Linked DNA regions of Cricetulus griseus. The protein of the gene in region 2 interacts with the protein of the main gene of each other region in a pairwise test. Links are inferred from orthologs where the notes say so. Each region holds a gene or a part of one and is shown on either strand. Other genes may lie near its edges. The genes, in order: Lemd3 and Smad9.

Region 1 (4,587 bases), about 39 Mb from region 2:
ATTTAACTTTTAAGTTTGATTTCCAGTTTTTTTTTTTTTTCCCCTCTCAATTATTTAAGACAGGACACAGCACAACACTCTTGCTCCCAGAAAGCCAACTGAAGCAAGGACTGCTCCTGCAAGCCTGTAATTCAACAATATTGTGGTCATTTATGTATTCATTCCTTGGACTTGGTTATACTGAAATCGATGCTCACACTACTTGCTCTGCTAACTGCACCCATCTTAGTATTGTAGCATAAAATATATAGTAAGCCAGCTTTATATATACAAACCATGATATTGCAAATTCATATTAGGAGGAAAACTTCAAGGGAAATGGGAAGAAACATAGCAGTCCATTATACACTAATTTACGTCCAATCCTAATAAACCTCATCCTAGTCAATATTAGCATGGTCTTCTCGATTAGCAAAGGGAAGTTCCAGCCACAGTAACTACAGCAAATCTCTCACCCCATTCAGGTCCTTTCTGCTTCTTGTGATCCCTGCCCAGAATGTCCTGCAGCCGCTCTACAAGACTATTTTGTTTTGTTTTGTTTTGTCCAGCTTTACTTTTAGGTCTACCTTAAACAGTACCCTCTGACCATGCAATCTAAACCAGCCCACACCAGTTACTTTATCCTTATTTCCTCACAGAACACATAGTGGTCATCCTCCTGAATGATTTGATCTATTACTGTTGTGTCTTCATTGCTCAATACTCAGTACTGAGGAAGGCCCTGTTTGAATGAATGAACGAACACACCTGCCTATTTACAGTCATTTACCAAGGATATCTGCCCCCAAGTTCCATGTGCTAAGTTACCACGACTTTCTCCACGGGTGGAAGGGGAGGTGCTCTAGACTGAGAAGTGAATGAAGAGGTGTGTCCTGCTGCCTCCTCAACACCTGTTCTCTTTATAGAAATTAGAGAACTACTTATATTGTGTGTACACTGTCGTCTTCGATCATAACACATTTAAAAAAAGAAAACATGGCATGTGTGGCACTACTTCCAACCTCATCGAGCCGATGACATCTGCAGTTATTTAAAACTAAAAGACATTAGGACACTCAAGGGCCTTTTTACTGGCACAGCATTCCTCTTGGATAAGTTGTTCTGAATTTACCAGCACACCACGCAGAAAAATGTAAAAACCAGCCCTAAGGTATCATTCTGGTAATGGTACGCCGTTCCTTCTCAAAAGACAGCCGATGCATGTATTCTGCGGCACTTTCGCTGTTAAAACAAATAAATTTCTTGCAAGTAATGGTCATCACCAGCAAGCAACGTGTCTGCATCTGATAACCTGGGCCCTCGGAGTTTACTTAATACTTACGGAGTCCTCCATCCTCCGGTACTCCGGTCCCTCTCATCCCTAGGTAAGTCAGTCCCAGTATCAGGAAAAACAGGCAGGCAGCAGTCAGGAGAAACATGGACAAGTAGTGAGCGCTGAAACTCCCCGTGGGGGACACCTCTTCCCGTTTAAACTGCTGGAGGAGTTCCTCTTCAGGCTCGCAGAGCTTCGGTTTGCCATAGGCATTTTTCAGGTAGGTGTGATTGGAGCCAGTATGGTTGGCGTGATTGATCCTGAGTGATGGAGGGGCAGGGGAGGCGGCGGCCGCGCCGGGAGGGAGGCTGTTGGAGTAGACACCGGGGGGATCCACACCGAAGGCCCCCCCGCCTATGTGATTATTGGTTTTGAGAAGGGAACCTGTGGGCGACTCCAAGCTTGAGTCCACGTCAGGGACCGGCGGGGCCAGGAGCGGGGCCAGCTTCTTGGCGCCAGCACGGTATCGAGGAACCGGGCTGGAGTCCACTGGCTCGCACCCTCCTCCCGGCTCGGCCGCCGCCTCCTCGAGGGTTCGGCTCCAGTCTAGACTCCCGGCAGCCGCCGCCCTGTCATTCATCGTCAGTCCTCCCCCTCCCTGAACCGAAGTCTCCAGCCGGCCGCCGCCAGATTTAGCAGTCAGCGCCGAGAAGGGCTTACTGTGGTGGCTCCGTCTGGGCCGATGCCGGGCAAGCGAGGAGTCGTCCTTGGATACCTGTCTGCCGGAGGCCACGTCGTCGTCGTCGTCCTCCTCCTCCTCCTCCGAGTCCGAGTAGTGCTCCCGACAGCTGTACGGGAGGAGCCTGCTGCCGTTCACCGCTCGGCTCGCCCACAGCGGCTCCTCGGCCTCGGGGTCCCTCTCGTCGCCGTCCGCTACCTCCTCGTCCCCGTCCTCGGCGGCTCCGTCGCTGCCCGGCGGCGCCAGCGCCGGCGGCGGCGGCTGCGCTTCCAATGCCCCCGGCCGCCGCGCTGCCCACCACGAGTGGGGCTTCCTGCGCTCGCCCGAGTGGCCGCTGTTAGTCACCTCGGCGGCGGCCAGGGGCGCCGGCGGCGCTTTGAGCCCGCGGTACTGGAGCGCAGCCCGGTCCCTCCGCGCGCCGCCGCCGCCGCTGCCGCCGCCGCCGCCGGCCTGCTCCCGGGGGCTGGCCTCCACGTCCGACTCGTCGGAGCTGAAGCCCAGCAGTACTTTGCTGCCCGCCGAGGGGACGCTCGCCGCGCCCCCGGATCCTCCCAGGGGGCTCTCGGGAACCGAGGCCGCCAGGCGGCCCAGGCCCGCGGGGGTCCGTAAGTACGGGAGGTCACCCGAGCCGGGCCGGACCGCCATCGCCATCCCCGAGGCCGCCGCCGACCCCGCCGCCGCGACTGTGGCGGCCGTCGCCGCCGTGTTATTGTTATTACTGTTCCGCGTCTTGCTGCCGCGGCCCCCCGCCCGGTGCGGCTGCGGCGGCGGCTGCGGCGTCTGCGGTTGCTGCTGCTCCTCCTCGCGAAGCTTCTTCAGCTTCTTGAGGTACACCGGCCGCGTGCTCTCCGTCACCGGACCCGGGGATAAGCCGTAACGGCGGAGCTGACTGAAAAGCTCCTCGTCCGAAAGCTGCTGGGGCGCCGAGGCCGCCGCCGCCGCCGCCGCCGCCATTTTCTCTCCAGGGTGTTTTACAAGCTCCGCGCTACCGGAAGTGACGCGCCGCCCTAGACCCTGAACTAGACCGGGCTGCCTGCGTCGCCCTCCCAGCGCCACGGGCGTCTGGGCCAATGGGAAACGCGGGAGGAGCTCACCTGAGCGGGAAAGCGCTACCTGAGCGGCGGGCGGCCGAGCCGGCGGGCGAGTTGCTCGCCCGGAATGGCGTGGATGCTCCCCAACCTGCGGTCCCCGGCGTGTCCCCCGGAAAGCGCCACCTGAGCCGGCGCGGATGCTCCCCAACCAGGTGTCCCCCGGTGGCTGCGGCTGTCCCTGTCGCCGCTCCGCGCCCCGTGCTGCCACATGCCATCCCACTGGCAGCCAGTGTCGCAACTACACCTTGACCTCTTCCCCGGGGTCCCGCCACCGGGCAGCGGGCGTGGGAAGGACATCCGCCCTGAAGTTCATGGCGACACTTTTCTTGTTCGGATCCCTGCTGCCAAGGACACCGAGAGTCGAGGAGAGGGATCCCGGCTTGGCGGTTTTGCTGTCTGTTCCCTTTTCATTTTGTCTTTTCCGTGCAATTTTTTTTAATGACTTTTTCTCCTCGATGGCTTTTCAGAGACTTCTCTTGAAAGAAATGGAAGAGCTTGTTCTTCACAGTACAGTTTTCAAAAATCATGGCTGCTCTTTCGATGGGGCACGTAATTAACTTTTCTGGTTTTTTTTTTTCTCTTTGTTTTGTTTTTTAGGGTTTGTTTGTTTTCTAAGTATGATGATGACCTTACAAAGTCATGGAGGAATGAAAGAGCCTACCATCTGAATCATTTTGGCAGAAGAAAGACAAGCTGATTCTACTGCTCTCCTGGCTCCTACCCAAACAATAATAAATATTTTTATTTATTTTGAAATATTTATTTGCCCCCTTTGGCTGTAAGCTCCATGTACAGAAGAACTTTGTGTCTATTGTTTTCAACACAGTACACATTTGTTGAGTGAGGTGGTGAGCTGCAAACTGTAATAGAATGAGATTAAAATTTGGAGCATGGGAAAGATATCTGGTAAGGCCGATAAACTTTTCCGCAAAGAAAATAATAGCTGGAAGTTCTACCTTCTTATTCACAAAATGCAAAATGAATCTGAGAGCAGAGAAAGAAATTTGACAATTTTGGCAAAGAAAGCTTCCTCTTTTCTCAAATCCTGTCAGAGCTAATAATTTTTTTTTTTGAGTCCTTAAGTCCTAGAAGCTAGTAGGCAATCCTAGCACTATGTAGGAAACATTACAATAGTTTCTATTTGAGTTGCTTTACCCTATAACATAAAAACATCTACTCGGAATAGGTTAGTTAAAAGCATAGCTGCTAGCTTTTCAATACCCAGTATCCCCAGCAGAAAAGAAAAAAATATATATTAACCTCAATTTTTGATTTCCAGCAAACCTTGTCTTCAAAAGAAAGCTCTCATATGAACAACCACTTCCCTTTTTTCTTTATCACTGAGACTTTAAATGTCACAAATGTCCCTGAATCTATGACTATTAAGCACTTACAAGAGTGTCTGACCCTGTATCCTGATTATGATGACCCACAAACTTACTGGACCTCAGGCTAGCAAAGTAGCTCACCTGGGTGTTACATAAAATTGGATATTGGCCCTGTCC
Region 2 (4,281 bases):
GACACATGAGAAAATAAGCCTGGCAGAGGACACCTGAGTGTGCAGACAAGGGTACCTGGGGTTCAACATGCACCGGTGTGCATGAAGATGAGCACACAGTTTTCACAGCCCTGGTGACATCTAATGCTGGCCATTATCTTTAAATGGTTTTAGTTGGCACAGACATAATTTTCAGGAATGTTTGCTTTTAAGGCCTAGTTAATTGCCAGGGGATGTTTGTTTATTTTTGCTATGTTCCTATTCCTACACAAACATTCATCAAGTTAACATAGCACACCACTGCCTACTCACACCATCAAAATTAGGATGTAAGCATCTGCCTCCCTTGATTTAGGACAGCTTGCCAATTCACTAGCAACAGTAATAAAGGGAATAAAAACCCAAAGTCAAGGATTATAACAATTTGAGATTTGTATTTTCAATATACACCCAATTTACTGGATATTCTGCATACACCCCGATTTCTGAATTCCTAAGTGCTCACAAAAATAAACAGGAGTCTCCCCCAAGTTTTGTTCAGATGTTAGGATTTAATGTCAGATGTTACAAAAAAATAAAAACCAAGAACATTCATTGATCAGAACCCTGACCTTCCCACCACTGGAGCATCTCCTGGATATTAAAGCAGACTATGATGAAATTGTTTTCTTGTAGTGGAGAGGGAAGGTCAGATATCATTGGCTGCCTTAATGATGCAGTAACCATCTCTCTTCAACTTGGCAGCAAACATTGCACTCTCATTCATCAGCATTCAATTATTTGTAAAACTGATCTCAAATTGTTTTATTTGTGTGAAAGAACAATTTCTTGTTTTTTTTCTCCTCCAATTTGACCACATGATCAGAAAGAATACACAAATTTACCATCCATTCAGTGCTTCTATGTCTGTGGTGAAGTTTCTTATAAAACGGGGTGGGAATGCTAAGCAATACAGCAGTCTCCTGTATTGCTTAGCATTTTCTTCCTATATCTTAGGTTATCAGAGACGCAGTAGCTGATACTGGTGAATATCTTCTAATTTTCTCATTAACTATGGAATATGTAAAATAAGAGGAAAATATTTGATAAAGAAAACACCAACTGCCTCATGTTTAAGGTGCTTAATTTGCTTAAGACCTTAATTTGTCTTTGCTTTTTAGAAAATACTACTAGTAAGTGAGCTGGCTGCATCCAGACTATGCCAGCATTCTCCTAAGCAGAGTTCCAAACTGGAGGGGCTGGGGGGAGGGCGGGGAGGGAACCCCTGACAAAGCCATCCGCTCAAGCATAAAAGTGGGGGCTGGCAGTATCAGGACAGATCCAGCAAAGGCCAGCTTTCAGGAAGCTGACTTGCCATCAAGAAGCCTTACCACTAGAAGCTATTTTCAGAAATATTGGTCATCTTATCACATTTTAAATGTTCCTTGTTTATAAACCACCACACCGGTTTCTTATCTGTGATGTCCTTGGATTACCAATCATAGACTTGAAAGTGATCCAAAATCGAGTTCCCGCCTTCCTAGGAGCAGAGCTATGAATGCTGGTCATTTGCTGTAGAGTGTGCTTGAGCTGTATTTTCACTTGCCTTTTAAATATAAATGAATAGTTTCTACATGTAAACATCCGAGGGCATTGACAGGCAGGCTAGCACATTTCACAACCACAAATATTCCTGAGGAACTGCCTAGGAAGCGCCATCCTTAAAGGGCCAACGACCTTACCGTTATTCTCTGCTCTCCCTGATAGCTAAATTTTTACAGGAACCTAGCAAGCCGCCGCACGGTCACTGTGAACTGGATCCACTAAAAGTAATTCCTAGTGTTCCATGGCATGCATTCAACCGAATTACATACAATTTGCTTCCAAAACGAGATCCACATCATTTGTAGGTTATTTCTCAAAATTACCAGTTTTAGCCAAGAAATATCCCAGCGGAGGACCTCAAAACTATCATTTTCAATTGCCACGGCCGAGAGAGAGAGGGAGGAGAAGGAGTAAGAAGAGTGTGGCGATTAACCACCCATAAGAAGGCTCCCCACGCTCCTCCTCCCCATCACAAGGCCGGCGTCAGTCAGTCGCCTGCATCTGTCCCCACCTCGCCCCCTCCCGTCTGCGCAGAGCTGGCACCCAATGGTAGGCCCAGGAGAAGACAAACACAACCCAAGCGCTAGCTACAGACACTTAACATTCCTAACTTTTTTTTTTCCTCTCTCACTGTGTGTGCCTCAAAGGTAAGCAGAGAGGAAAAAATTACAGGAGTATGAAATAAAGCTTCATGGCCAAAGGCGCCCTGGAGTTTTAAAATCTCCCCCCAGACTACCTTACACACACTCACACTCGCCCCTCTGCTGTCCCCAACTCCCCAGCAAAGGGCTACTGCCCCAATCAGGGTTTCAGAGCGCCTGCTCCTGGGTGCAGGACAGTGTGCATCCCTCTGCACTTGGTCCACGCGCATCCTGCATCCTTGCCCACACCCCGGGTCACGCGTCCCCGGGATGGGTCCCAGGTGCCAGGCTGCCGCGGAGACCTCGCACATTACACTCGCCACCCAGGCTCCAGGGAGAGCCAAGCCCCATGCCAGAGAACCTCAGAGGCCTCCCAGGTGCCCACGCTCGCGGCGTGGCAGCGCTTACCTGTCCGTGTGGTGCCACGCGTGCCCCGCGCTCTCGGGCTGCGCGGTAGCTGCAGGGCCCGGGCGGGCGGCGGCGGGACCGAGACAGCGGCTCCAGAGGCGTCAGTCAGGCTGGAGCCTCCTCCTCGGCCGCCCGCGTGAGTGCGCCGCACTGGAAGGGCGCCAGGCTGCCGTGCGCGCAGCCCCAGCCAGGAGGGGCCGTGCGCTCTGGCCGAGCCGCGCTCCCCGCCCGCAGAGCTGCGCACCCGCTCGTCCTGCGCATGGCCTCTGCAAATGGCTTTCAGGGCCAGCGGGATCTCCAGGTCATCCCCCGAGGTGTCCTCCCCACCTGGACCTCAGGCAGTGGAGAGAGGGGGCCAGTCCCCCCCACCCACCCACCCAGAGGCAGACAGGACCACCAACCATATGTGGCTCCAGTCCTGGTCCCTTGAGGCCACACTTACTGGCTAGCTTAGCTGTTCCTTATCTCTGTATCCGAGGCATAACTTGCCTGGCACCAGCCCAAGAAAATCTGGCTGAGTGGCAGTGGAGTTTCAAACTAGTGCTGTAATGTTGTGGACTGTGATTTCTTACGCAGTGTATAATACATACTGTCTAATACTCAAGATATACATCATGGGCACAAAGAACCTTCCTGCCCAGCTGCCTGGCTGCCCCCTAGGTCGCCTGCCTTTAAAATGTCACTTGGGAAGTGGCACCTGTGTGTTGAAAGCCTTTGATTCCCCCACCAAACCTTATAGGTTTTCAAAAAGACAGAGGTTTTCAAAATGGCATTGGCCATCTCAGTTAGTTCCACACTGTAAGCATCCCCCAAGAGGCCAAAGCACCTTGGAAATGTAAACAAAAGCCCTTAGGTTGGACTTCTTCCCCTAACCCTAAAACCACCACTTTCTGGAACATGTCACTTTTGCATCATCATCCAAGGGTAGCTGAAGAAGGCTTTGCTTAAAATATATTGCAGAAGTGTAAATGATACTTGAACTTCAAACTGGAAGTATCTCTCTACAGCTGGTCCATATACCCTGCTGCAGGCCAGGTGTTGGGTGTGAGATTGCCCTGGGAGAGAAAAACACCCCAGAAAAAATACTGTCCAGTGTGGGGACCACTGAAAGTCATGGACTGGATGAGAGAATTTCATGTGCACCTAGAGGCAAGTAAACTAATTAGGTTCTCTGAATTGATAACTTGTGCCTCAACACCCACCCACCCCTTCCCCAGAAATGATATTAAAGAACTGATCCAATCAGTTTCCTCCTTCTCTGGGAGCACAAAGCCGTGAGAAACCTTTGATAGGCTGGTTCATGCTTCTGCCACGGAGGCTGTGAATCCACAGAATTCTCTGGAGGGTAGGTGTGGGGCAGGCCTCTAAGTGTGTGTACTCTGCCTTTTCTGGACGTTACTCCCAAAAAGGTTAGGGAGATAAAACAGTAAAACCTGGTGGGGTTCAAGAGAGAGCAAACACCGACCCTGGGGAAGAAAGCTCATGCTGGCTGATTCTTTTAACTGCCCTAGTTATGAGAATTCTGACCCCTCTTCCTCTGTCATTTTTGGAGCATTTAATAGAAACATAATTCTCTTCCACCAAAGCATTATGTTATGGAAATGCGCATGAGATCAGAATGACAGCGGTTATGATTCGATGGCAATTCCCTTACAGTTTTGGTTAGGGA

Evidence for each region.
Region 1: the proteins of Smad9 (region 2) and Lemd3 interact in binary tests that used the Homo sapiens proteins (3 or more experiments, as listed by UniProt). The link is inferred for Cricetulus griseus from reciprocal best matches to the Homo sapiens genes SMAD9 and LEMD3.

What each region holds. Positions count from the first base shown.
Region 1 is NW_023276806.1:135,840,975-135,845,561, reverse strand, and holds the start of Lemd3 (inner nuclear membrane protein Man1), read right to left. Parts: upstream 2,985-4,587; 5' UTR 2,946-2,984; coding exon 1,322-2,945; intron 1-1,321.
Region 2 is NW_023276806.1:96,416,867-96,421,147, forward strand, and holds the start of Smad9 (mothers against decapentaplegic homolog 9), read right to left. Parts: upstream 2,809-4,281; 5' UTR 2,613-2,808; intron 1-2,612. UniProt on the Homo sapiens protein: Transcriptional modulator activated by BMP (bone morphogenetic proteins) type 1 receptor kinase. SMAD9 is a receptor-regulated SMAD (R-SMAD).